Linked DNA regions of Mytilus edulis. The protein of the gene in region 1 binds, or shares a complex with, the protein of each later gene. Links are inferred from orthologs where the notes say so. Each region holds a gene or a part of one and is shown in the gene's direction. Other genes may lie near its edges. The genes, in order: tectonic-like complex member MKS1, B9 domain-containing protein 2-like, transmembrane protein 237-like and transmembrane protein 17-like.

Region 1 (7,889 bases):
TGTATTGATAAGCGCAAAATGGCTTGTACCCATATTTTGACTATTGTATTTATTGTGTCTGTTTATTTAACGCATCAATGTAAAAATATCGGAAATTGATGAGACTGTCATTAAAGTGAGAGGGTTAGCGCTATAGAACCAGGTTTTATCCACCATTTTCTACATTTGAAAATGCCTGTACCAAGTCAGGAATATGACAGTTTTTGTCCATTCGTTTTTGATGCGTTTTGTTATTTGATTTTGCCATGTGATTATGGACTTTCCAAATTGATCTTCCTCTAAGTTCAGTATTTTTGTGATTTTACTTTTTTCTAAAACTTGACGAGCTATTTTTTTTTAATTGAAGTACAAATGTCCTCACAAAACTGAATACAATCAAAAGCAATTTTTTCTAAACAATTACTTCTGAAGATTAATTGTCAACCGCATTGTGTCCTTTAACATTATTTCCGAATTGAAACAATTGGCCGTTTCAGAATCTAAAGCATCATGGGTAATTTCATTGTTCGTACCCCAAATTGAAAATAACGTTACGTCATTGGTTGAATTTCCATTGTTTATAACGTTTTAAACCAATCAAAACGCTTTGGTGTACGCTTTTGAAAATATTACCCAGGATGCATTAGATTCTGAAACGGCGAATTACTAGGGTGGCATCAAATTACCCATCAAATTCCACTTCACTTTTTTTTTTTTGTCAAAAATTTATTTGATATAACAATTATAGTGCATTATTGTTCAAGTAAATAAAAGAACGAGTTAATAAAGCTAGGATACGATATTGGAAGGTATATACACGAAAAAGAATGAATTATACAACATGCGATGAAATATTACATATTTAAGAAACAATCCGAACACCGTTTATAAATAGCTTCGCCGAGAGCGCATGAACTTCCACTCTTATTCTGAATATTGAAATTGTTGTTATTGAATTAAATGGGACATTTTTTTTTTTGGTCAAAAATTTATTTGATATAACAATTATAGTGCATTATTGTTCAAGTAAATAAAAGAACGAGTTAATAAAGCTAGGATACGATATTGGATTAAATGGGACATTTTTTTTTTGGTCAAAAATTTATTTGATATAACAATTATAGTGCATTATTGTTCAAGTAAATAAAAGAACGAGTTAATAAAGCTAGGATACGATATTGGAAGGTATAAATCACGAAAAAGAATGAATTATACAACATGCGATGAAATATTACATATTCAAGAAACAATCCGAACACCGTTTATAAATAGCTTCGCCGAGAGCGCATGAACTTCCACTCTTATTCTGAATATTGAAATTGTTGTTATTGAATTAAATGGGACATACATTCAATGGTATCTGCTTTAATTGTGGCTTTTATGGTCATCATTGTAAAGACTGTCACACACTTTAGGATAAATCTGATGTATTTCAATTTGTAGACAAATTATCAAATCATAGTAAATCATTACTACTTCATAACAATTTCGATATACTTCTCAATTTATGTCCAAATTGTAATACATCAAAATGTATATGTACTCAAAAATGTATGTCTGTAGCTAAAAATTTTGAAAACAAAAGTTCAGAGAAAATTGTCATAAATCAAAAAATGGTATATGTGCTAATAGCCTCAGCTCAAAACCTAATTATAATAGAAACAAACATTATCAAAAAAACTGTCTTAATCTAAAATGTAAAGGTTTCAATGCTGTATGCCTTAATGTTCGACATATTCTATCTAAATTTGACGAGTTAAAAAATATGATTACTATAAACAACAAATATTTAGATGTATTTGGATTAGTTGAAACATTCTTAAAACCTGACATTAACAATGAACAATGTAAAGTGCCGGGATACAAAATTTTCAGAAAAGATCGCCAGTGTAAGGATGGTGGTGGCCTATTGGTTTACGTCAAAGATTCTATTGCAGTTAAAAATAGATCTGATTTATCAATTAATACATTAGAAACTTTATGGTTAGAGGTAGAATTTCCAAAATCTAAACCTTTCTTTATTTGTACTATTTATAGACCACCAAATTCCCCTCAGTCCTGGATAGATCTTTTTGAGGAAGAATTTAATGCAGTTCTTTCAGAAAACAAAGAGATAATTTTAATGGGGGACTTTAATATTGACTTGATAAAAATTGAGAATAAAAAATGGATCAATTTCATAAACAATTTTAATCTTCAACAACAAATTTGCACTGCAACACGTATTTGTGACAAATCTGAAACTCTAATTGATCATATTTACACTACTAATCCTGAAAATATTGTCCATTGTCATGTTCCGTCATATGCTTTAAGTGACCACTATCCTGTATGCTTAAATAGAAAAATCAATATAAAGATAAAAAAAGAAAGTCATATCGAAATAAAGTATAGGTGTTTCAAAAAATTTAATGAAGATGCCTTTTGTACAGACTTACATCAAACCCCTTTTGATATTGTTGAAATGGAAGATGATATTGATATTGCTGTCGACAAATGGTATGAACTTTTTAATCAAGTTATTAACAAACATGCACCAATGAAAACTAAAAGAGTAAAAACATTTAAACAAGCCAAATGGTTTAATGAAGAAATTAAAAATTCCATTCAATATAGGAATATGTATCATTCAAAAAAAGATTGGGTAAACTTTAAAAAGTGGCGTAATAAAACAACGTCGTTAATATTTAATGCAAAAAAGGAATATTACCAAAACGCCATAACTAGTTCCAAAAATAGTAAAGAACTTTGGAATCATATTAAAGAGTTAAATCCAAAAGAAGATAATATTTTCCCACCTAAAATGCAGTATGAAAATCAAACGGTTTATAACAACCAAGATATTGTAAATACTCTTAATGTTCATTTTTCATCCGTAGCTGAAAAACTTATTGGAAATAATACTTCAGATATGGATTTTTCTATGCTACAAAATTTTACTAGTGAAAAATTAAAGAAAACTGAAAATTTTCATTTAAAACTCATTTCCGTTGGAGAGGTGTGTTCTCAACTAAAACATCTTAATATTAATAAATCCGCAGGTTTAGATGGAATTGGTCCCAAATTTTTAAAGCTAAGTGCATAAATAATATCCCCATCATTAACTTTTTTAATAAACAAAAGTATAACTTCAAATCGTTTTCCGCAAAAATTAAAACTTGCAAGAGTAACTGCTATACATAAAGGAGGACCAAGAGATATTCCCTCAAACTATCGTCCAATTTCTATTTTGAATACCATATCTAAAATTTTCGAAAGACATGTATGTACACAGTTATATGAATTCCTAAACAATAATAAATTGTTACATATCGCCCAGTCAGGTTTCAGACAAGGTCATTCCTGCCAAACAGCGCTAACTAAACTAATTGACGAATGGTTAAAATATTTAGATAATGGAGAAATAGTTGGTACAGTGTTTTTAGATTTCAGTAAGGCTTTTGACCTTATTAACCATGCCATACTTTTAGAAAAGTTAAAATTTTATCATATCGGAAAACATATAATAGATTGGATAAAATCATATTTGTCTGACAGACAACAAGAAGTCCAATACGCTAACATTAAATCTGATAAATCGTTTGTAAAGTATGGAGTGCCTCAAGGTTCTATTTTAGGTCCGCTGTTATTTTTAATATATATAAATGATTTACCACTTCATGTTAAACAATCCAATATGGATTTATATGCTGATGATTCAACATTGCATTTTCATGATAAAAACATTGAAAAAATAAACAGCATATTGCAAAATGATTTAAATGCTATACAATCTTGGTGTAACAATAACAGTATGAAAATCAATGCACAAAAAACTAAGTGTATGAAATTGGGTTCAAAACCAAAACTTAAACAACTATCAGAATTATGCATTACCGTCAACGAAACATGTATTGAGAATGTCCATTCTTTCAAATTACTTGGAATTGACATTGATGAAAATTTAAGCTGGGAAGATCATGTTGATCGTGTATGTAAAATAATCTCTTCTAAAGTATCACTTTTATATAAAATTAAAGTATATTTGCCAATACACACAAGGCAACTATTTTATAATGCATATATTCTACCATATATAGACTATTGTAGTTCAGTTTGGGGAAATTTATCATTTTACACAAAGATTCAGATAGAATCATAAAACTTCAAAAAAGAGTAGCAAGAATTATACTGGAATGCGATATTTCTATTCCATCTAAATTCATGTTTTCTTCTTTAAAATGGCTATCTTTTACCAAAAGAATAAAATACCAACAATCAATTTTAATGTATAAAATTGTAAATGGGCTAACACCTGATTACTTAGCAATTCTAAATATTGATGATGTGCAACGCCACAACCTACGATCTGTCTCTAATAATGATCTTTTTGTTCCAAGGCCAAATACAAATTTTTATAAAAAATCTTTTCATTACTCTGCAACCAAAGTATGGAATAATTTACCACTCGAAATAAAAAAATGTCCTAATGTGGAATTATTCAAGAAACATAGTTATAATCATTTTCTTGAAAATTATATGCAAGTCAAATAATTTGTTTTTCTCTAACAAAACTATATCAAATATTGTCATTTATTACTCTTTGTATATTTTAGTGATTGAATTGTTGTATATACTAGTAATATATATTGTAATTTAATGTATCAATGTTAACTGTATGCATGTATTTTGTTTGAGGGCCTCAATGAAAATTAGAATTTTTCTAATTGAGTTACCCTCTTTAAATAAAGAATTTATTATTATTATTATTATTATTATTATTAAGGTACGATTTTGACATACTGTCGCCCCGAATCGTCGTCTCTTGTATAAACCGGAATTTCATAACAATACCAGACTTGTTTAAAATTTACATAATATAGTAAACAAATCAATAAAGCGTTTGATAACAGGGGAACTTTCATTCTTTTATTAAGAAACTATACAACATCGCAAATAGTTTACGGTCATGGCGGACTTGTACGAACCTGATTTTGGAGCTGCTTATTATAGATCAAAAGACCCTGTTAAGAATCTCAAATTCAAGTAAATAATTTTGCAATTGTATCAGAAAAACACAATGCTCAAATGAAACTAAAAAATTACGTTCTGCTAAAAGATCTGATGTCAAAATAACGTCAAAAATGACAAATTTTGAATTCATGAAAAACTAAGATTATTTCCAACTTGAACCAAGTATATTCCCTTAAAATTTATTGTGATTTACAATTTCTTTTAATTTAACTGTTTAACATCAAATAACATGCATAAGGTACTGTTATATGAGGCAGCCCTGTGAAAGGGTATGGGGTCTGCAAACCTTAAGAAATACATTATGATACCCATTATCAGAAGATTAATAATGATGATAAACATTTCTTGTAAGTAAATTCCAAGCATCATTCCTGCTTGAAAGTAACTGAATTACTGAAATGTACATGTATCTCATGTCAGTCAAATTTTTTGGAATTTTATATGTTCAATGTAAACAAGAAATTTTATCTATATGACAGGTAGTGTATTTTTCTCTCGTTTTAATCTCCTATAGTATACTTGGCGATTACAATACCAGGGCTTTCCATTGAAATTGAAGTAGAAGGCTCAATGAAAATTATAGGCTGCTGTAACATGCGTTCGGCGAAGCCGGACGCCCACCAAGCTGTAAGCTTGGTGCCTTACAAGTTACAGCAGGGAGTCTGGGAGGCCCCCAGACGCTCTGGCATAAATAGAGAAAAATCCTGCATTCTCAAAATCTCCTGGCACCTAATTTCATCTTTCAAATGACCATTTTTTATGTATGAAATTAAAGAAACTCTGAAAGAAAAAAAAATCTCAAAGAAATTTCATTTTTTTTATGTTTTAGTTTTTATTTTCATTACCTTTTGCTTAAAATTCATTTACTTTTAAAGGAGATTTATTTATATAATAATCTGGTTTGTTAAAAATCTTGATTGATTTATTTTGCATAACTACGTGCATTTGTAAACAAATGACCCCCCTATTCTCTCTAAAGACTGTTACGCGTATTTAAATCATACAATTATTTCTCAAGCGTTGACAGAAAATTGATTTATCCTCTGATTTTCTCTTTTTTTGTAAACTGTTCAATAAGTTGGATACATAAATCAGGCCTAAAATAAAATTTCATTTGTTTGGCATTGCCGCCCGACCCACTGAAAAACTTGCCGCCCAAATAACTTTATTTGCGTTTCAGAATTATTTTTTTTTTTATTTAAAAAAAATCGAAATTGTGCCGGCTTTACTTATTTCAAATCACGATCTTAAAAGCGCTTGTCTTACACTGTATTGGGAGCAAACATTTAAATGACATGGAATAGAAAAAGTCTGCCAAAAGTAATGTCAAAGAGGCCGGCAGGGGAAAGCATCTCCCTATGCTGCAATGCATTAGATGGATTTTATCAAAAATCAATTTTTCAGCTATTCTTTGAAAGAAACCTTCTGAGAGACCTTGTAGCGGACTCAAATTTTATCTTTGATTAAGCAGAAACAGATGATTTCTGCTTGACTTTGTCGCTTCATGAGATAGAAGTTTTTCACCGGAACATCACAGAACAAATATGTGTGGCTCTTACATTTGTTAAACTTATTAAATATTTGAAATTTATCATTGACAAATTTTCCCTTGAACCAGAGAACAAAGTATCTACTATAGTCAGAACCACTATGATGCATCTGAGACTACTATAACACATAGTGTTAATAGCTATATATATAGTAGTCTCAGGATGCATTCAAGATAATTATGGCTGTAAGCACCAAAGCTCAAAGACCAAAATGGTCCCAGATTTACAGGTTTATAGTAGTTTTGTACCAGTAGATGCTAGCCTGGTACAAAACATACATATTTTAAAGACTAGCATCTTGTGTCAATTGAAGTACTTCCCCCTTTTCTTGCCTTTCTTCTTAACATGAATAAGATAATTCTTAAAACATAAAAGATACTGACAGAAACATATGTATAAATGTATCTAGTGTACTAGTGATGAATAAAATCCCCTCCTTTTCCACAATTCTAAGGGCTCATTAATTTATCTGTATGCATGTAATGCATGTCCAGATTTCTGTTAATCAAACAAGCATAACAACCCATAATTTATTTATCTGCAAAAATTGTCTGTCCTGCTGCATATTTCCATTTTGAATTTATCATACGTTTTAAACTTAGCCCTGAAAAACCTTGCACTTGGATAATATTAGTATAAACACCAAGTCTATTTGTGCCAACCTTCCAAATTTTTAATATTTTGCTATCCTAATTTGGTACAGATCCTTTATCCTCAAAACTTATCAGGGGCAGTAGGCGTGTTTGTATGGTAGTTCGTCACACCTTACATGTATGATTACTAGCCTCTAGGTATTGGTTGAGCCCTAGTTGGGCAGTTGCAAAATTAAGGTTTGATTTTCATGTCATATGTGATAAGGTTAGTCAGTTTCCTCCTGTAGGTTGGCGTTTTCCTTCAAGTACTACGGTTTAGTACGCCACTAAAACTAACTGCCATGAAATTACCCATATGGTGTAGAAAGTGATGTTTATAAAACCAAAGCAAACAATCAAAGTTTTAAATCTTTGTCCATTTCTACAAGGAGCCGTAGTGGTAGAGCCATTTAACTTATGGTAATTTTACCAAACTGTGACCACAACTTCAAGATGTGACATCAGGCCTCTGTTCAATGGGCAGTCCCACAATTAAGTTCAATTTTCACGTCATACATTTTATATGGTTAATTTGTCAGTTTCCTGTCTCAGTTCTGTGTTTTTTTCTGGGTACTTTGGTTAACTTTGACAATAAAACTGACTGTCTTGCATGAAATTATCCATATGATGTACATTGTAGAATGTGACATTGACAGTTGACCCCTTTCAAAGAAACCACCAACATGTACACACAACAATGCTTTAGACAACATTG
Region 2 (6,930 bases), on another chromosome or scaffold:
ACATGTAACAACCATAGCAATGGTTAAACATGCTTAGAGAAAGCATATTTGATTTCTTACAGACATTTTTATAGTCGAACAAGAATGTGATCAGTAGTTGACAAGTGGCTTTGAAAACTGCCCTGAAACAAAATGCTCAACATGCAATATCAAATCATGAAAAGTATTTCCATTCTATATCATAGACCTATTATTCAAATAATCTGACTTATTCCTTTCAGCATATAACTGACAAACTGACCTTGCTCTTTTACCACTAAACAATGAACAAGAAACAAGCAGGTTGTTTTTGTACAATGATAACAAATGTTCTTTTGTTAAATTTTACTACTACCTGATAGGACAGGCAATTGATGCAAATCCTCTTTTTTTAACTTTGCTATTTAATTACCTGGATGGCTGAATTCTTGAAGATGAGATGGATTTTTCCTGTAACATTTTGACCCATACTGACAAGGAGGTTTCCTCCTACTAACTGTCTTCTTTTCTTCTTCAAGTAAAACTGTCTGTTTTCTCTTCAAGCCACTAGATGGTGATGGTTTATAATCAGAATGTTTGCCTTTCTCCACTGGACTGTCAAATCTTTTTTTAATATCAACCTTTTCAGCCTCTGGACTGGAATCAATCTTATCTAACCAGTTCTCTATTTCTGTAAATGACTTAGTCTTTTTCTCAGAGGACTTAGTCACACTTTCTGATGATGGTTTTGTTCTCTTGTCATGTGACTTAGTCAAAGTTTCTGGTGACAACTTTGTCTTCTTGTCTATTGACTTAGTCAAAGTTTCTGATGATGGCTTTGATCTCTTCTCGATTGACTTAGTCAAAGTTTCTGATGATGGCTTTGTTCTGTTGTCTAGTGACTTTGAAAAACATTCTGATGATGATTTTGTTGTCTTTTCTTGTGACTTAAGCTTAGTCAAAGTTGCTGATGATTTATTACTTTGTTTAACAAGTGATTTAGATTCGTTTTGTTCAGATGTGGATTTCAATGAGTTAAATAATGAAGATTTTCCTTTCCCTTTAGAAGTCCCTTTCAAAATGAAATATTCTTCACTTTCCTCTTCAGACTCTGAAATCTCATGAACTTCACTTCTTCTTTTACTTAATGACGGAAGATTTACTGGTGATTTGTGTGGTGATTCAGTGGTCACGTCACTATCTTCTGGTCCAACAGTAATATCCGAGTCTGTATCAGATACATGATGACCTCCCTTTGCAGACATAAGATCAAAATGATTCCAATATATATATCAAAGTGTGGAATTTAATTTACATTTTTTTTCCTAAAAAAAATAAATTTACCATGAATTTTTTTAAATTACATACCATATTACAAATAGGTTATTTTTACCTCCTGGTAATAGAAAGGGACAACATCAGAAAGCAAAGGACAGTATAAACAAGGTTTGTCCCTTTTTTGGGAGGTTCTAGATAGAATAAACTCATCATAGATATAAGGATTCAAATTTTATATATATGCCAGACACACAATTTTCGTCTACAAAAAGACTCATCAGTGAAGCTGGAATCAAAATATGTTAAAAAGGCCAAATAAAGTACAACGTTGAAGAAATGACAATATTAATTTATGCACAAAAAACAATCTTAAATATATACAATTATCATTCATTAATAACAGGCCATTAATGGAAGGTTAAATCAATACGGAATATTCTACAAATTATATCCAATTGATTCTTATATACTAGTATAGGGTGATTCAGTTTTATAAAGGTCTACTTTAGCAACAGACACAATCCGATTTTTTGGGAAAGTTTTGTATACATTCTGTTGGCCTGAGCTGACAATGGCTGAGGTACAAATTATTCTTACACTAGGAAAGTACAGTACATAGTGTTGTTACATGTATATGCAAATTCCTTCTATCGATTCTATTTGAATGAATTAATATAGTAATCATTAAAGACCCATCCAATAAACAGATTACCTGTAACAACAGATTATGACACCTGTTGTTACCATTGATTAGTTTGGGGTCTTAAACAAAGTCATAATAGTTATCAAAGGTACCACTAGCAGAATTATAATTTAGTACGCCAGACACGTGTTTCGTCTACATAAGACTCATCAGTGACGCTCATATCAAAATATTTATAAAGCCAAACAAGTACAAAGTTGAAGAGCATTGAAGATTCAAAATTCCAAAAAGTTGTGCCAAATATATGGCTAAGTACGTAATCTATGCCTGGGATAAGAAAATCCTTAGTTTTTTTCGAAAAATTCAAAGTTTTGTAAACAGGAAATTCATAAAAATGACCACATCATTGATATTCATGTTGACACCGAAGTGTTGACTACTGGGCTGGTGATACCTTCCGGGACGAAATGTCCACCAGCAGTGGCATCGACCCATGAGTGGTGTAAATAGTTATCAAAGGTACCAGGATTATAATTTAGTACAGCAGACAAGCGTTTCGTCAACATAAGATTCATCAGTGATGCTCATATGGAAAAGCAATCTAATTAAAACCGATCTCTTATTGCTCCTGTTTCTGATGTCGCGTGGGAGATCTAACGAAACCTGCTTTGAGGTCACATGTGAGTGACCTCGTAGGTGTGTCTTTTTCGACCAATGAAATTGAGTCTTCCACGATCTTGAAAGTTTAATGAAAGGTAAAGGGATGTAACTCATTTTATTTACGACGAAATCGTCAGTCAAAATAATTCATAAACTTTTTTGATTGGCTTACTAATAGGTCATCAACTCATTTGCATATCATTATAAATTTATAACTTTTAGTTCACTCACATGTGACCTCAAAGCCGGTTTCGTTAGATCTCCCATGCGACATATCAGAAAACGGGAGCGATGAGAGATCGGTTTTTAATTAGATTGATGGAAAAGTGATTGTTGTATGATGTCAAACGTTCAAGCGGAACAGATTCCAGGGTCATGCCAGACAGATTTCTAAAAATAAAGAATTTATCAATTATTATCGTTATTGTTTATACATGTATTTAAGGTTCATCATAAGGAATTGAAAAATATGGCCGTGTTTACACCTCCAAAATTACTATGAGTACAGACAAACTGGTACATCCAGGAAAGTTTTAAGGCATGGCAGGAACTAGATATATAAAAGTTATATGAAGTCTACGTTTCAGAAAATTAAAAACTTACCTGGATTTTGATGTTCATTTTTTTCCAGTCTGCAGAAGATAGCAAAATAAACAAACACCCGAGTTTCATTTGATACGGTCCATTCAGTGACACAGTTTAAACCTGTTAAATCACCTATTGTTTACAGGTGTCTATTGTCCATTTAAATCAATACTACTCACAACATTCATTATATGAGGGGAGCTTCTCAATCGTTTTCACTACTTAGTTAATTTTTGCACCTTCTGCAGGAACGAAAAAAAATGGATAGCAAAATCTAGAAAAGTTTATAATTTTCTGAAACATAAAATGCATTTAAAATTTATATATCTAGTTCCTGCCATCCCTTAAAACTGTTGCAGGTGTATAGGTTAGTCTGTACTCAGAGTAAAATTTGGGGTGTAAATAAGGCCATTTTAGCCAAAAGGTTATGATGAACCTTAAAGCATTGGACAATGTGTTTTATTCCTTCTCCAGAACAGGAATTGGTTATTAGACGTAAAATGCAAGAGCACACGTGTAAATTTATATGAGAGATTGATGATTGTTTATGAGGGAGATGCAGGATGTTGATTATTTATAAGCTATGAATTTTACACTGACAAATATGATAAGTTGTCATTATCTTGATAGAACTCACACATGTGCCAAATCAGCATTTGTTTACTAATTATTTTCGGATGTTATTATTTCATATTTTATTTTTAAAAGCGTTTAACAAAGAGTTTCATTTTAAATAGCAACTAATTATTCATCCAAGATCAATTTATTTTGATAAATAGGATTTATGCAAAATACGAAAATATCAAATTGTTAATGTCAACAAAAATGGTGGACAGGAATGAACATTAACAATTTATTCTAAAGAAAATGAAATTTCCTGATATATAAGATATCAGAGAAGCCTAAATCAGAAAAGTTTTAACCATTTAATAACAAAATTACTGAATTCAGCATTTTATCTACTTAAATTACGGCGTGGTAAGCAAAAAGAGAGTTTAAAGTGCCTTGGCCATGTTCGAACTTGAATTTTCCTAGCGGGTTTTAATTACTTTTGATTTTTATGTTCGAAAAGACGGGTTGGGCATGTCAAATAAAATGGTTTGCCAATTTAACTACAAGATTCATTTAATTGCTTTCTTTCTGTTTGAAATATTTATCACAAAAGGAAAGAGACACCAGATGGTTAGAGTTATGGTATCAGGTCCGTTAACGCCCAATACACTTTCGCACCCTACACGTTTGCTCCTCGCAGGTTTGCACCCAAGGTCCGTTCGCACTCTACACGTTTGGGCCCAAAAAAAAACCACAAAAGATAATTGTTTTTGATAGCTTGGTCACTTTGATCTGAAACAATTAAACAATAAAATAAAGCAATACACTATTATAACCAAAACAAGATAAAATTTATTCAACACACAAAAAAAAAACGTAGTCAAAATCTCACTTAGTTGTTTTGAAACAAGTCAATGAAACAAAGTTATAGGAATACAGTAACCAAAACATGATTAAGAGTTATTCAACACAAAATAAAACGTTGACAGAATCCCACTTTATTTATAGAAAGGATTATATTTTTTTTAACAATACACTATCCAAAACATGATTAAGATTTATTCAACACAAAAATAAAATGCTGTCTCACTTTATTTTAAGACAATGACAAGAAGAATACTCTTACCAAAACTTGCATGATTACAAAAAAAACCAATTAAAATTGGGCGTGAACATGTAGGGTGCGAACAGACTTTGGGTGCGAGCATGTAGGGTGGGAAAGTGAAAGGGGCGAACATGAGTGGGTGCAAACGTGAATGGGCGCGAACGGATCCGGATTCTAGAGTTATAATTGAAAAATGCATATGTTGCAAACATTGTTTATAATACATATGTAAATACCAAAGAGAGAACTTTCTGTGTTATTCAATACTACATAATTCATAAAGCTATCACATGAATCCATTTACAAATTTCCTTAAAGAAGAAGACTAGTACTGCAATAATGACTTTGAGGCCACATCAATTTAATTCCTTATTTGACAGACCTGGCCGCACCTATTTTATTCGAAACAGAAATAAATTTTAAGATTTATATTCCTGCTTCCCGCATCCGGAAATATAATCCTGTCTGTTTTTTGGTAAATATTATAAAAAAATATTAACCCTTAATTTAAAATCACAGTCTTACCTGCTTACCTGTATTTAATGATTTTAAACCTATAAGCACCCCACCACACTATGTAAATGTTTTTGTAAAAATTTGATTAAACATTAAACCCATATATCCAAAGTGGGAGTGCTCTGATATAAATATATAACAAGGGGAAAATACCTGTACATTAGTTTTCTTCCCCCTCACCTACATTCCCGGCCCATCAAAAAATGTTCGTTGTCAAAATAGAGAATGCAGAACTTCTGAAGGAGAAGAGTTGCCTTCAACTGCAATTATATTGTATGCCAGCGGAACGAAACTATCCATACCCACTGCATGTTTATGCACCTGTCCGCATTGATTCTGGGTCTATTGTTCAGTAGTAACATGTATCGTTTGTTGGTGTGGTTCTGTTCATATGTATTTTCCCGTTTGTATATATATGTAAATTAGATCGTTGGTTTCCCTCTTTGAATTGTGTACACTAGCATGACTAGTAATTTTGGAGTCCCTTTAATTTGACTTTTGATACATTTTATACATAAAAATGTACAACATAAAATTAAGAATGGAAATGGGGAACATGAACATATAATGTACTTTTGGAAATGTATTTGAGAGAATTCAATTGAATTACATATATATATGTGAAATAAGTGAGTTTTAAATTGTGTAATTTTATTTTTTTCCTCCGACATAATTGAATCTTGAATAGAGTAATTGATTTATTTTTACAGAATCATGGCAGAAGTACATATCATAGGACAGATTCTTGGTGCTGATGGATTTCCAGATCATAGTTTGTTTTGTAAATGGGGTATACATACAGGTGTGTTGAAATAGACTTATTAAACAACATATACATACATTTTTTTAAAACTTATTTTGAATAAACTTTGACTAGTTCTTTAGAATTATAAAGACTGTGAAATAGCAAGCAAACATAAAAAACATTCAAAATTAAACTTACTTGTAGTCTTCAGCAAAATTTTGAAGAAAATAATCTGTTTGAAGAAAATCTGATTAGAGAATTTGTTTTGTCTGTATATTAGCCCTTTTTCAGTGTGTTATGATTGATTATGCAGTGTAACCTGACTTTTCTGACACCTGAGTGTTCCAACATCCTGCTTTAACCGACACATTTTCATGGTCCCAATTTGCTTAACCTTGCAAAAAAAAAACCTGCCAGAGTATTCCGACACCCTGCTGAATCCAACATTTTTTCTGGTCCTCCAGTATGTCAGATAACACAGGATACACATTATTCAAATTCAGTAAATAGTTTTCTTCATTGTTATTGACCTACATTGTATATCCATAAACAATGTGCATGATTAAAGTGTTAACTTACATTCACCAATGAAGACCACAAAGTCAAAGTCCAGTGTTAGTTATTTGTTTTTATACTATAAGATATTTTTTTATGTAAAACTACATGTACCTCATATATCAATTCATATTTATGATATATTTTGTATTATCAGGAGGAGCATGGAAAGCTTTGTCTGGTCTAAGAGAAGGACAAACACAAGTAGATAACCCACAAAATTATGATGAAGCATACTGGGCTCATCCAATAGATGTTCACTTTACAACCAAAGGTTTACAAGGTAATTTGTTCAATTAAAACAATATTAAATATTACACTTCAGTTCTTATC
Region 3 (7,797 bases), on another chromosome or scaffold:
TCTGGACAAAGAAAGATAACTCTAATTAAAAAAAAATTTGATATTTCACAATATTGTGCAATTAGATATTTCTTGCCATTGCGCAATACTGTGCAATTGAAAAGACTTGCTATTACACAATACTTAATATAATAATTTTAGATCCTGATTTGGACCAACTTGAAAACTGGGCCCATAATAAAAAATCTAAGTACATTTTTGGATTCAGCATATCAAAGAACTTCAAGATTTCAATTTTTGTTAAAATCAGACTAAGTTTAATTTTGGACCCTTTGGACTTTAGTGTAGACCAATTTGAAAACAGGACCAAAAATGAAGAATCTACATACACAGTTAGATTTGGAATATCAAAGAACCCCATTTATTCAATTTTTGATGAAATCAAACAAAGTTTAATTTTGGACCCCGATTTGGACCAACTTGAAAACTGGGCCAATAATCAAGAATCTAAGTACATTTTTAGATTCAGCATATCAAAGAACCTAACTGATTCATTTTTTGTCAAAATCAAACTAAGTTTAATTTTGGACCCTTTGGACCTTAATGTAGACCAATTTGAAAACGGGACCAAAAGTTAAGAATCTACATACACAGTCATGACAGTTAGATTCAGCATATCAAAGAACCCCAATTATTCAATTTTGATGAAATCAAACAAAAGTTTAATTTTGGACCCTTTGGGCCCCTTATTATGTTGGGACCAAAACTCCCAAAATCAAACCCAACCTTTCTTTTATGGTCATAAACCTTGTGTTTAAATTTCATAGATTTCTATTTACTTATACTAACGTTATGGTGCGAAAACCAAGAAAAATGCTTATTTGGGTCCCTTTTTGGCCCCTAATTCCTAAACTGTTGGGACCTAAACTTCCAAAATCAATACCAACCTTCCTTTTGTAGTCATTAACATTGTGTTTAAATTTCATTGATTTCTATTTACTTAAACTAATGTTATTGTGCGAAAACCAAGAATAATGCTTATTTGGGCCCTTTTTTGGCCCCTAATTCCTAAACTGTTGAGACCAAAACTCCCAAAATCAATCCCAACCATTCTTTTGTGGTCATAAACCTTGTGTCAAAATTTCATAGATTTCTATTAACTTAAACTAAAGTTATAGTGCGAAAACCAAGAAAATGCTTATTTGGGCCCTTTTTGGCCCCTAATTCCTAAAATGTTGGGACCAAAACTCCCAAAATCAATACCAACCTTCCTTTTGTGGTCATAAACCTTGTGTTAAAATTTCATAGATTTCCATTCACTTTTACTAAAGTTAGAGTGCGAAAACTAAAAGTATTCGGACGCCGGACGACGACGACGACGACGACGACGACGACGACGACGACGACGACGACGACGACGACGACGACGACGACGCAGACGCCAACGTGATAGCAATATACGACGAAAATTTTTTCAAAATTTGCGGTCGTATAAAAATCATGGGAAAAAGATCGCGAATGGTTGAATTATATAGTAGATCGGAATTTAATGAACTGTACAACATGTGAAAAAAAGACCAGTAGATTTGGAGCCGGACCAGTAGAGTTTTTAGTCCACTGGTCCGGCTGGCCAGTACACAAAAAAGCTTAAATTCGACCCCTGTGTATAACCCATATCTCCTTTTATTTATATTCATTTGCATGAGTCATTTTTACACTGAAATGATAAAATTATGTTAAAATGAAAAGATTACCAGTATGTTTAAAAAGGGATGTGAAGCTTACAACAAATTAGATTCAATGAAACAGCAAGAAATCAAAACAATCACACATTCAATTAATATAGTCAATGTAACCTTCAGTCTCTATATGAGGGGGTTGGAGGGGTCCTGGTCCCGAAATCCTGAGCTTAAAAACATAAATTCCAGAGGTCCTGAATTTAAAGAAATTTAAATCCTGACATCCCAAAATTTGAAAAAGGAATTACAAGATCCTGAAAGGATCAATCATGAAATTCCAAGGTTAAAAACAGCTGATCCTGGAGTCCCAATAAAGGTTTGATCCCCCCTCCTATATGAAATATGCTTAATTTTTTTTCTATTAGTTTCTTTATCATTGATATTTCCACAAATCTACTTTTTCAGTCTGTTACAGTTCAGTCAAACTTTACTGTTAAAAGGAATTAATTCCTTAAAATTAACATGATTAATGCTTTCAATATAAACATCTTTTTTTATTGTTTTAAAATCTTTGAATCAGAGTCAGACAGCATATTAAACAAAATGTATATATAAATTTTGTATTTAAAAGTACAGCAATGTTGTATGGTTCCACAAAGGATTGAGCTAATGATACTATCTAAATAATAAATTGTTTTCAATATGCATGATGAGGTTGGCGGTTATATAAACCAAAAAAAAAATTTCTAAGATATTCTCAAATTATATTAGTCATTACCATTATTTTTTATATCTTTTTATATATCAGGAAAACAGTTCTAAGTGATTTAATTTCAAATATATTCACTTGGCTTTTCATTAAATATTAAGATTACAATCCCAAGCATCAATTGATTTTAGAGAATGAAACCGTCAATTCATAATAATTATTTTTTGTGGTATTTATTTTACATGTATGATACTTTATTTCATAAGAGAATCAATTGTTGTTTTGTCCAACATTTATTTGTTCATCAACATGACCAACTAGTTGGATACTAGTTTTAAAGGAAGTATTTTAGCTTTTCAATAGGCGACAGACAACAGTTGCATGCAATCATATGTGTTTTCATCTTACAGATCACCATGTTCATTTTCATGATTATAAAAATGTGTTGTAAAAAATGTTTTTAACAATTGGGTGTGAATAAATCTGCTAAGTACATACATTTTTGTACATGGTGCTGCATGTTCTTTTTTTATTGAAAAATTACATTCAGAGAGTTCTTTGTATTATAAATCAAAATTTAAGATTGCAACAAAATTTTGGAAAAGTGTAATATTAAGAACACCCCTTTCAATATTATTTTATTGTACATAAAACTGCACTTTTATAAATATAATTGGTCAAAAGCTCCAGGTTAGAGCTTGTAATGTATATTTTACTTATGCTGAATCAAAACAATTTTTTCTAATCTTATCATTTCAGTTTTAGTTTATGATTGCTTTGTAAAAAATTTCCCACTAAATTTACAACATAGCAGATTTTCTTTCATCACTGTAAAAATTTTCTTTTCTTTATATAGGGTAGCAAGCAATTAATTTTAGCTTTCATTTTGGATGTGAAAAAACTAGAATCAAAATATATGTGGTCACCGAATGAGGGTCCTGGCAGTTTATTATGAAACTGGTAATCTATGGTGATTGGAATCCATGAAAAATCGCCCCACTGGCAATTGCCCCACACCTAATCGCCCCACTATTTGAACAATCGCACTTTTGTTTACCAAATTGCCACAGGCACTTGTCTAAGAAAAAAACCACTATATATATATTAAGGTATATAGGAAAATTAAATTCTGAGACAAGTGCCTGTGCAACTTGCCCCACCTATGAAAAAGGGTAAACTCCCATTGAAAATAGGTTGGATAACTTGCTCCCTTTTATGAAATGGGTAAAAAAAGCCTCTGAAATAAGGCATGCCACCTCGCCCCACTTGTGAAAAATAGATAAATACTGATGAATTTAGTAATGCCAACTCGCCCCACTTGATGCAAAAGGTGCATTCCCATTGTATATATATCTATTTTCCTCTCCCACTTAAGTAAATAAAATCAATACCTATGAAAACCTTAGATAACATTTTTCTCCCGTCTGAATGGTTTTACACTAGTCATTTTGGGGGCCCTTTATTAGCTTACTGTTCGGTGTTAGGGTAGTAATGAGGGTACCTTCATGACAAATAACCGTACTTATTCTTGCCAAATGGCGTTAGAGAAAATTTTTGGTGTATGACGATTAAATGTACTTTCTTTGAGTCGATAAAAATAGTAACTAATTTAGACGAATCACGTTAATTTTTTTCCAAAAATGACGGTAACAATAATTATTTGAGACCGCTGACGAATCACAATAAAGATCTTTGACAAATCATCAAAATTTTTTTAACCAATTTGACGCTTATGGTAGCCGAAAATGACTGTTTGATGCCTGTTGATAAAGGGCATTACTACTTTCATGTTGAAGACGCTTAACTTTGACCTACAATGGTTTTTCTTTTACAAATGGTGTCTTGGATGGAGACTGAGTTGTCTCATTGACAGTCATACCACATCTTCTTATATCTTTTTGGTGGTTCTTTTCTTTTTGTTGAAAAAAAAATTAAGAAGTGAGTATCAGAATTTCTGTGACGTGAATGCTAATTAACTAGCACCACTTGTTAAAATAGAAAAATCTTGATGAATTGAGTCTTGCAAACTTGCCCCACTTATGGAAAATAGAAAAGTCCTGATGAATTGAGTCATGCCACTTCATAGTTTTTGAGTGGGGCAAGTTGGCAGACCTGCAAATTATATATTCATCTAGATTTGACCTTTTCATTAAGTGGGGCGAGTTTGCAGGAGAAAAAATAATGCAATTTAACCCTTTTCAGTTTGAGGCGATTTTTTTAAAAGTGGGGCGAGTTAGTGAAAAAGTGGGGCGATTTGGTGTGGGGCGATTTGTCCTTACGGTGATTGGATGTTTCATTAAATCGTGAAAGCTTTTTACCCTTTAAAAAGATGGAAATAAGTTATTACGGGCTAACAAATTGTCTAAGTTAGAAGGAGTTAGATTACCAAGGCAAATAAACAAAACTGAATGCTTTTTAGACATTTTCCTGCAACTTTTTAGGAAGACTGCTGGTGGATTCCGAAACGAAGAGAATTATCCGAAAGTTACCGGAAGTTGTTTTGTTTATTGGATACAAAAATGGCCGACAATGAAAATCCTCCGAAGAAAAAGAAATTGCCACCAGTTACACAGGCATCAGAAGAAACTGATGTCCAGAAAAGACCAGTAAGAAAAAAGAAAAAGAAACCAACCGAAGCAACAGAAAATGGCGAAACCGGATCAACAGCCACTACTCCTAAAAAGAAGAAAGCACCTGTTGCAACAGAAGATGGAGACAAACCAACTCCAAGGAAAAGGAAGAAACGCAAACCACCAGAACAGGCTGAAGATGGACAACCTACATCAGCAAGAAGTGCTGCTAGTCAAGAGGTTATTGTCATAAAGATCTGCTTTCATTCTAATACGAAATATACAAGATACATGTAAAGACATTTAAAAAAATGATGTGTTTGGACTTGACCAGAAAAGGCCTAGGATAACCATTAAATAACATCTGAATAAGGAATAGGTTTATAAGATGAGTAACTTTTAGGGAATACTTTAGGATAAATTAATTTTTCCATTATTTCTAATCATCTGTTTCTGAAATCAATTATATTTTCCTTCGTTTATATAAAAAAAAAACATGACTGAAGTAGTGGTGTAATTGGAATCTGGGTCCGTTCACCCTGATTCATGTTCGCCCTAGTATCTGTTCGCCCTGATACCTGTTCGTCAAGGGTCCATTCACCCAATTTTTATTTTTTTCTATTTGTTGTCTAGTTGCATTATTTAAGTATTTGAACAAAATATGTTAAAGTTTGTTGAAAAATTGACAGAATATTTATATTGCCGTAATCAATTGTTTTTATTAATTTCAAGCTGAATATTTTATCAAAATAACACGTTTGTTTTTATTATTAATCCATCAAAAGACAAGTATCACAATAACCAGTGATCCGAATTATTTTTTCTTTAAACAATTAATGATCCTAAACAAGCAATAAACTCTGCAATGTTTCCATAAATATCAAGAATATACATGATATATATACATTGTACATGTACCATAGAAATATCTCAATAAATTTATTCAACTTCAATTCATATTGATATTTTTATAGTAGGACGAACAGACACTATGGGCGAACGAACTCAGAGGGAACGACCCTAGGGCGAACATGTCATTAGGGCGAACGGTCCCGATACCGTGTAATTGGCAGTATTCAAACAACTTGCATAGTTCTGGATGTCATTTCATCCAATACACTTTCACACCCTGCAAGTTTGCACCTCACATGTTTGCCCCCTGGGTCTGTTAGCACCCTACACCATAGTACACATTCAGGCCCAATTTTTATTCAAATTCCAGATCAATTATTAGATATTTATTTATATGTAATTGTATTAAGCAAATAAATTATATTTTCCTAAATAAAAATTGAGGAATTATTACAGTTTTTGTACATGGTTTTATTTTTTTTATTAATTTGATGATAATTGGTATTTATACACAGCTAAATTTGGTATTATTGTCTTGTGTCAGAAAATCGTGATGGTGGTTTTAATTATTATACTTTGGTGTAAATAACCAAAATATGATTAAGATTTATTCAATACAAAACTTTGTCAGAATGGTACTTTATTTTGAAACATTTCAATGTCATTGAAAAAAAATACTTATAGCAATACACAACCAAAACATGATAAATATTTATTTAACAAACCATAAAAAGACAGAATCTAACTTTATTTTTGAAATAGTGATATGTTCACTAACCAAAACATGATATAGATTTATATAGAACTCTATTACAAAATTATTAAACACAAAACCTCTTATTTTTACTATAAAAATCATTGACAAAACAAATAAAAAGGGTGGGAACGAACTTTGGGAGCGAACATATAGGGAGCGAAAATTAAAGGAGTGGAACCAGAATGGGCGCGAATGTACCTGGATTCGATCTCATTTACATGGCAACCCCAGTACTGGATAAGGCAGTACATTGTAGTTTCACAAGAAACAGAACGAACTCTGAGTCTCAATATAATTTTATAAACTGTTACTAAGTTATCAGATATAAACAAATTTTGGAGAAATGGTTCATATTACTACACGGCAGCCTCAAACAACATAGTTAATGCGCTAGTATAATAATAATAAAAATGCTGAAAAAATACCATTAAATAAAAAATTGGGATTCACTTGTATATTGATTTCAGTATGGATGGCTGTTTAATGTCCAGTAACGAATTTATATGCATATATTCATAATTCATGATGAGAATATGATAAAGTGATATGAAGATAGACCATACCTTGTACTCTGACAGGCTTTAAAGCAATATTTTTAACATGCTACTTGTAGCTTACAAGGTAATAGTCTGCAAGACTATATATCACCTTACCAGGTACCCAACACATATTTCTGACTTTGAACTGACCCATTTTTGCTCTTACTCCTACATGTACATGTAAAAGCTACATTATCGAAGAAGCAGCAAATAATAATTTTCAAGATTACATTACTGTTATGATAATTAATTTGAACTTAATTCTTAAGTGAAGAAACTTTCAAACTGAAATAGTAATAACAGGTTCATTTGTACTTATGATAATAATTGATTTATTTCCAGGAAGTTGGTGGTAGTAAAACAAGCCTAATATCTAAAGATGATAAAAAGACAACACCAAAAAAAAAAGTGAAGAAAAAGGTGAAGAAAGCCTCACCTAGAGTTGGAGATGAGTTTATGGATGCAGCATTTGCTGCAGACTTGTCAACCATACAAGAAGATATTGTAACACCAGACGGCAAGAAAGACGAAGATGTTATACCTCATCCCTACTCTACAGAATCTATTGTACTCAAAAGTCAGCCATTAGATAATCTATTTATAGAAACTAATTGTAAGTAAAAAAAAATGTACATATAAACCTGCTAAAAGGCAGGTGTTATTTTTCTCATTCACTTCATTTAAATCTGTTATACAGGTCTGACTTAAAACAGTCTATCATTCTATATATATATACAACTTGTCTAAACAT
Region 4 (7,096 bases), about 15 Mb from region 1:
AAGCCTTAAAAGGCTACATTATCTTATCTTGTAAAATATATAGTAAGGAGGCATCGGCTACAGACATGTATTTCACATTCTGAATTATAATACAATTGATAAAAAAGTGACCGAAGACTACAACAGTCATGCTGCTGATATCGAATTTATAAGAGCCAAATTGAAATATGAGAGAATTTTTTTTTCAAACAAAAGTGATTAAGTATTAAGTCTAATAGTAATTTTTGGGGTCCTTTATAGCTTGCTGTTCGCTGTGAGCCAATGTCCGTGTCGCAGTCCGTACCTTGATCTATAATGGTTTACTTTTATAAATTGTTACTTGGATGGAGAGTTGTCTCATTCGCACTCATACCTCATCTTCCTATATCTATATATTATACAAGTTTAACAAAATAACTATACCATTTTCGAAAACAGGCATACGAACGTCCATGAATTTCATTATGCATGTTATGTGGTGTCCATGGTTTACATAATCAGGATGTCAATTCTATATCTGTAATAAGACAGAAAAATATATATTATATGAAACCTTGCACATCAGGTCGTCTGAGCATTTGTGTAACGTTTAATTATGTTATGATATATGTATATATATTTATTTTTTCATTTTTACTTTAAAAACCAAGGGCCGGAAAATCTATCTTTAAAAACATGTTACTGTTATCTGTTGATAGAAGTTAAACCTTAAAATATTTCGTGTATGTCTGAAACAACTATGTTATATCCACAATTTATATATGAACTCCCTTTATATATAGCCGATTTCGTTGAGTGTGTAGGCAAAGGTAATATCTTTGGTAAGCTTGCTTGTTAGCTGAACCATTCAGTCATTATTAGGTCAGGTGTACTATCCTCTTTTCAAATGCATTGATCGTCCAAAAAAGGGGATTCAAACCCCCCGCCCCCCCACCCTAGCCCCTGGATCCGCCACTGTTACCTTTGGCTACACACTCAATGAAATCGGCTGTAATATTATTTCTTCAAATTACTTCTATTCAACTTCTCTCAGGGACGAAATCAAAAGTTCAATGTAGGATAAAAATTCACATAGTTTTTCCACTGATTCCCCCACCCCCCCTCCCCAACTCCCTTAACTTAATTTGGGAAAAATGATTGACCAATAGGGATACATGTTAAATCGAAGTCAAAGAAACAAAAATAGCAGCCATTTTATCATTCCCCAAGTTATTTGATATAAGTTTGCTATACTTCATTGATCTTTTGATGTCGTCCCATATTGAAAAAATGATTCCAAGGGCAAAAAAAATTGAATGAGGCTCAAACTTAGAATAAAAATCTGTTGCATACCATTTGAAGTGACTAAAACTTTATGTTTAGAAATCAGACTAAAATGCTGGCTATTATATCATGAACTCGAGCATTTTTCTGCTTTTCTTTCTTTTTTGAAAGAAAATAAAATGATAAAATGATACAAGTAAAAAAAAATGAAAAAAAAATAGTAATGGTTGTAATGAGATTCGAACGTAGGACGCCCGGACAAAAGGCAACGGTGTTCCCATTAGACTACGTTGTCATCATGACAAATATTGTGTAAAACGACATACTTATCACTATTGTTTTTTTTTTATTTGTTATGTTCTCAGTTAATTCTATTTGTAGTCGAATTCATACGGAAATTGGAAATTATTTTACTTGCAAAAATTGTTAAATTTTCATGTAAACTCATTAGAAAAATCTCCGGTTAAGGATAAGCAAAAAATGTTGTTTTCGGCGGTAGTCAATTTCTCAAAGTCGTCCGCAACCGGACCGATATTTTGTTCCCAATTTTCACATATTCTGAGTATATTTTTTACTTGAAACGAAAAATTATTTAATCATTCAAACTCTTTGTAGCTTTAATATATATCATGACTCAACCGGTCTCAGATACACATGCAAATGGCTGTTTATTGTGTGTGTCAAATGCCGATGATACGTTTTCACCATTTGTTTGTTGATCCAAATTGGATAAACAAAATCTAGATTGATAAAAAGAAAAAAAATACAATTTGAAGAATGATTGCCAAATCTCAAAACTAAAAACCTCACCTTTGGAAATATTCTTGATGTAGTTGGTGGTGTCTGGTAATCACAGCTGAATGCGGAGTTTTTCAGCCCTTTCTCCGATTTCGCTCCGATTTTACTATTACGGCGAAGTTGTTGTTTTTTTAGGAGATAGTTTTATACATATTTGAAGGCCTCCGCCAACGTGAGCCAAAAGTTTCTCTTCATTATCTGAAAATTCTGTTTGAATGCTATCCTCATCACCATTCTTTTCTGTGGCTCACGTTGGCGGAGGCCTTTAAAAACGAAGAATTTCAGTCCAAAAATCAACGTTTTGCTACCTTTTGGTGTAATTAGGTAACTTTAAGCAACTCAAAATCAGATTTCTGCTTTACCAAAAATTAAAATCCGCATGAGCTTCTAAAGAACAGATATATGCAAATTATTTTCGATTATAATTTCGTTTATTTCATGATGAAAAAAAATTGACAAAAAAGGGGGCCAAATACGGCCCTTAGTGTACCTTGTCCTTTGTCTGCCATTACGATAACCGGACATTATACAGGTTCACGTAAAATTTGACATCATAATACAAAATATCTTACGCCACAATGGAAAAGTGATTGTTGTATGACGTCAATACACCTTATCACTAATCCCGCCTGACCCGGCCGCTTGAACTTTTGACGCATATAACCATGATAACAATCACTTTTCCATTGTGGCGTCAGATATTTTGTATTGTGACGTCAAAATTTTACGGGAACCTGTGTGATATCCAGTAATGGCAGACAAATAGCGATAAGGTGTATAGATCGAGTGGGACAGATATTTCTTAGGTCAGCAAGGAGTGATAAGATGTGTTACTGGGATATTTTAAGAAATAAGATACCAAGAAGGCAAGTGAGTTGAGACCACAAGATGTAAGATTATTGGTATGAGTACACACTTGTTTAACATAGTTATATGAAAATTAAAAATATTAAAGGGGGTGCATGACAGGCTTTTCCCATCACTCTTTCGTAACATATAGGCTTATATCACTTATAATTCATTATCACCATTAATCAATTTTACCAGATTATTTTGTGATTGGTTTTTTTTTTACCGCAGACTATGACATTATTTATCGACCTGTTTCATGTGTTTACGTTTTCGTGTGAAGGTTTCCGCTTGTTTGAAATTTGGTGCGAAATTTTGATTGGTCATTAGAAAAATCTCACAGTTTTGTAAAAATTAAACTTTACTTCCAAAGTTTTGAATTTTATTTCTGAAATCATTTTTCAGTATGAAAATATCAAATACTGTAAACTAAAAAAGCAAATGTTTTTGAATAAAATTACGAAAATATTGAAATCCAAACCGGATGTTTACATCATGTGACATACCCCGCTAAAAGGTAAACATGGATTCTCCACTTTTGGGGAGATCTCTAAGAAAAACGGTCACATCATTCACTGACGTGTTGTTTCCCATATCAAAAGATGCACAGGATCCACAACAATACCAACTGAAAAAGACAGGTTAATAAACTTAGTTAAAATCCTGTTATTCTGTGAAGGTTTAGCTGGTACAGTAGTTTCATGTAAAAATCATGTTGAAACACAACACTCAGATTGATTTCAGCAGCAGGTTACCTCACAATCTATACTTAACTACTGGTTCTACTCCTGAGTCCTTTCTGTTTTCGAACTTCTTTCCTACAGATTTTTATCAAATACTTCTTTTATCATCATTTGTCCAATCTCGTTCTGGTACAATCATTAGGATCAACTTAGGTAAATGCTTCTCATAAAAGTTATAGCATAGTTTTATATCATCAATTTTCATGTAGGGTACCCCATTACTACCTTTGATATATATTTACCCTCAAGGTGGCAATTTGTTCAATATGTAGGGCTGTTTCATTGTATTAACATACTTTGGTGCGAAATTTTGATTGGTCATTAGAAAAATCTCACAGTTTTGTAAAAATTAAACTTTACTTCCAAAGTTTTGAATTTTATTTCTGAAATCATTTTTCAGTATGAAAATATCAAATACTGTAAACTAAAAAAGCAAATGTTTTTGAATAAAATTACGAAAATATTGAAATGCAAACCGGATGTTTACATCATGTGACATACCCCGCTAAAAGGTAAACATGGATTCTCCACTTTTGGGGAGATCTCTAAGAAAAACGGTCACATCATTCACTGACGTGTTGTTTCCCATATCAAAAGATGCACAGGATCCACAACAATACCAACTGAAAAAGACAGGTTAATAAACTTAGTTAAAATCCTGTTATTCTGTGAAGGTTTAGCTGGTACAGTAGTTTCATGTAAAAATCATGTTGAAACACAACACTCAGATTGATTTCAGCAGCAGGTTACCTCACAATCTATACTTAACTACTGGTTCTACTCCTGAGTCCTTTCTGTTTTCGAACTTCTTTCCTACAGATTTTTATCAAATACACTAAACAATTTATTCAATTAAACCATTATCAAAACAGATGATCATGACATGATACAATGTAGTAAGAATGCTATTTCGGCATTTATCATCACACCTCCCAATATTTGCTACGTTTCACAACAAAGGAACCTTTCTACTGTTCTACTTCTTTTATCATCATTTGTCCAATCTCGTTCTGGTACAATCATTAGGATCAACTTAGGTAAATGCTTCTCATAAAAGTTATAGCATAGTTTTATATCATCAATTTTCATGTAGGGTACCCCATTACTACCTTTGATATATATTTACCCTCAAGGTGGCAATTTGTTCAATATGTAGGGCTGTTTCATTGTATTAACATACTGACAATCAAACTTACTTTCAGGATTAACAGCATCATGAACCTTATCGCTAGTTGTTAGCTGCAACCAAACTCTACAATAATTAGAATATTAAATTCATTACATTTTGCTTCTCTAAGAGGGGTCTCATTGGGGACACAGGATTGCCGATTTTTTGTAAGCGTGACACTTGAAAGCAGGAAATGAGGTCTAGCAGGACCCAGGAAATGACAAAAAAATGAGAATTGCTTACATACATAGTGTAAGCGGGATACTGGAATCTGACAAAACAGTTAGCGGGATCCAGGATCCCAACCCCCCAATGAGATCCCCTCTAAGATGGCTTCATTAAGTTCATTAACACCTGAACCTAGTCAATCAAACATTGGGTTATTATTTTGGAAATTATTTACATGTATGCACTGTTATTAAAATTATGTCAAAATAAATCATAATTTACAAAGTTATGGCACATGTTACTGTATTTGAACATGTTTGAAATATTTGCCACTGGACATGAAGCAAGTAATATGCAGAAACAATACCAAACAAATCAGAGGATGCAGTAGGCAAAAAAAGTGTTGCAAGTAAATCAGCACATATATATATATCTAAACTATTAAACGAGAAGACCTCATTTTGTGTGTCGCTTCTCTTCCTTCTACAATAAATAAATCAACACGCCTCTGTGTCTTATAGGTACAGTGCATAGTTGCATTTGTCATCCATTTATATGATTATTCAGATTGAGTTATTTTGGGAGAAAAACAAGAAAAAAGGCATCCGGATATTGTCCGGTCATTGGACGAAATTTTAAGTCAGACTAGACATCCGGTTTGCGTTTTTTCTGTACTTTGTACATAAATGTACCAAAGACTTAAATAACGTGTATTTGCATTTATTTTCAAGTTAACTATCCACTGCGGTCACTGAGTTTATTAAATAAAGATGTTCTATATAATATGTCAATGACCGCTGTGGATCGATTAGTAAATTGAGAGTTGATAGTAAAAAGCAAATACACTTTATTTATAGTAATGTATGTTCATAATATACAGATAAACGCTTACATTATTGAAATCAATAAAAGAGCAATTATAGGAAATTCTGAGGAAAAAATTAGGAGCCGGGCTAGAAAAACAATTGTCATGTCCCAAAGTATCTAAATCATTTCATACCTTTTCTGAAATTCTTCAGTCATAAAGTCTCTTACAAAAATTCATCGGGTCACTAAGTATATTAAATAAAGAGGGTCTATATAATATATCAATGACCGCCGTGGATTGATTAGTTAACTGAGAATTGATAGTTAAAAGCAAACACACTTTATTTATAGTAATGTATGTTCATAACATACTAAACGTATGTTCATATTGAAATAAATAGAAAACAAAAAAATGGAAATTTTGGGATAAAAGGAGCAGGGGTTGAAAAACAATTGTCCTGTCCCCAAGTACCTATAACTTTTTATCAGCTTTCCTGAAATATTCTCCAGTCATTATTTTTTTTACAAAAATTCAACCTACAACACTTTACATACTTTCAACCACCCTTGGATGCCCGCGATTTCGCGGGTGTGTTCTAGCATTTATCATCCTTGCTTAAAGTATTTCAGTTTGGGTTATATTGGGAGGAAAACGAAAATAAATGCATCCATATATTGTTTCCGTCATCGTACTGACTTTTTGAGAAATATAAAAGACTTCCGCTGCCCTTTAGGCCTGTTTTGAAATTAAACATAATTTGAATTAGTACTTGAGACAGAACACTATTTTTTTGTGTTTTTCTGTATACTATGATCATACATATACTATAGATAAAGCGGTCACTGAAATATTTCTGTATACTACACACACAGAGGCGGATTTAGGAGGAGGGGTCTAGGAGGGCAGGGGTCCCACCCCCCTTTTTGAGAAAAAAACTGTTTGCTTATATAGGGAGTCACTGAAGGGTGACTGGAGCAGGCCCCCTCTTAGGCAGTCAGTTGGCCCCCACTTTTTAAAATTTCTGGATCTGCCACGATACATATATACTATGAATAAATTGTATAAGTTTGCTATAATTTACTTTAAATTCCAATAGTTTACTGAGGTGACTTTTAATATATCAGTGACTGTTTTATATAGTAACTATAGTAGATATATTTTTGTTCATAGTATACAGAAAAAGAGAAAGAATAAAAATCGGTATTTGGAAATAGGGGGAGGGCAAAAAAAAATGTGCCCAGTCCCCAAGTACCTTTGACTTTTGATACCTCTCCTGATATTCTCAAGTTATAATTTTTTTTACAGTTTACATACGCTCTA

The links.
Region 2: tectonic-like complex member MKS1 (region 1) and B9 domain-containing protein 2-like share a complex: the UniProt entries of both Homo sapiens proteins name them as parts of the tectonic-like complex. The link is inferred for Mytilus edulis from reciprocal best matches to the Homo sapiens genes MKS1 and B9D2.
Region 3: tectonic-like complex member MKS1 (region 1) and transmembrane protein 237-like share a complex: the UniProt entries of both Homo sapiens proteins name them as parts of the tectonic-like complex. The link is inferred for Mytilus edulis from reciprocal best matches to the Homo sapiens genes MKS1 and TMEM237.
Region 4: tectonic-like complex member MKS1 (region 1) and transmembrane protein 17-like share a complex: the UniProt entries of both Homo sapiens proteins name them as parts of the tectonic-like complex. The link is inferred for Mytilus edulis from reciprocal best matches to the Homo sapiens genes MKS1 and TMEM17.

What each region holds. Positions count from the first base shown.
Region 1 is NC_092349.1:45,660,735-45,668,623, forward strand, and holds the start of tectonic-like complex member MKS1, read left to right. Parts: upstream 1-4,884; 5' UTR 4,885-4,927; coding exon 4,928-5,004; intron 5,005-7,889. UniProt on the Homo sapiens protein: Component of the tectonic-like complex, a complex localized at the transition zone of primary cilia and acting as a barrier that prevents diffusion of transmembrane proteins between the cilia and plasma membranes.
Region 2 is NC_092346.1:49,637,448-49,644,377, reverse strand, and holds the start of B9 domain-containing protein 2-like, read left to right. Parts: upstream 1-3,928; 5' UTR 3,929-4,102; intron 4,103-6,007; 5' UTR 6,008-6,011; coding exon 6,012-6,099; intron 6,100-6,754; coding exon 6,755-6,880; intron 6,881-6,930. Other genes in the region: tyrosyl-DNA phosphodiesterase 1-like, read right to left, coding at 392-1,223. UniProt on the Homo sapiens protein: Component of the tectonic-like complex, a complex localized at the transition zone of primary cilia and acting as a barrier that prevents diffusion of transmembrane proteins between the cilia and plasma membranes.
Region 3 is NC_092350.1:20,110,275-20,118,071, forward strand, and holds the start of transmembrane protein 237-like, read left to right. Parts: upstream 1-4,774; 5' UTR 4,775-4,847; coding exon 4,848-5,138; intron 5,139-7,388; coding exon 7,389-7,659; intron 7,660-7,797. Other genes in the region: low molecular weight phosphotyrosine protein phosphatase-like, read right to left, coding at 4,715-4,751. UniProt on the Homo sapiens protein: Component of the transition zone in primary cilia. Required for ciliogenesis.
Region 4 is NC_092349.1:60,256,424-60,263,519, reverse strand, and holds the start of transmembrane protein 17-like, read left to right. Parts: upstream 1-4,094; 5' UTR 4,095-4,150; coding exon 4,151-4,268; intron 4,269-7,096. Other genes in the region: uncharacterized protein, read right to left, coding at 3,142-3,216. UniProt on the Homo sapiens protein: Transmembrane component of the tectonic-like complex, a complex localized at the transition zone of primary cilia and acting as a barrier that prevents diffusion of transmembrane proteins between the cilia and plasma membranes.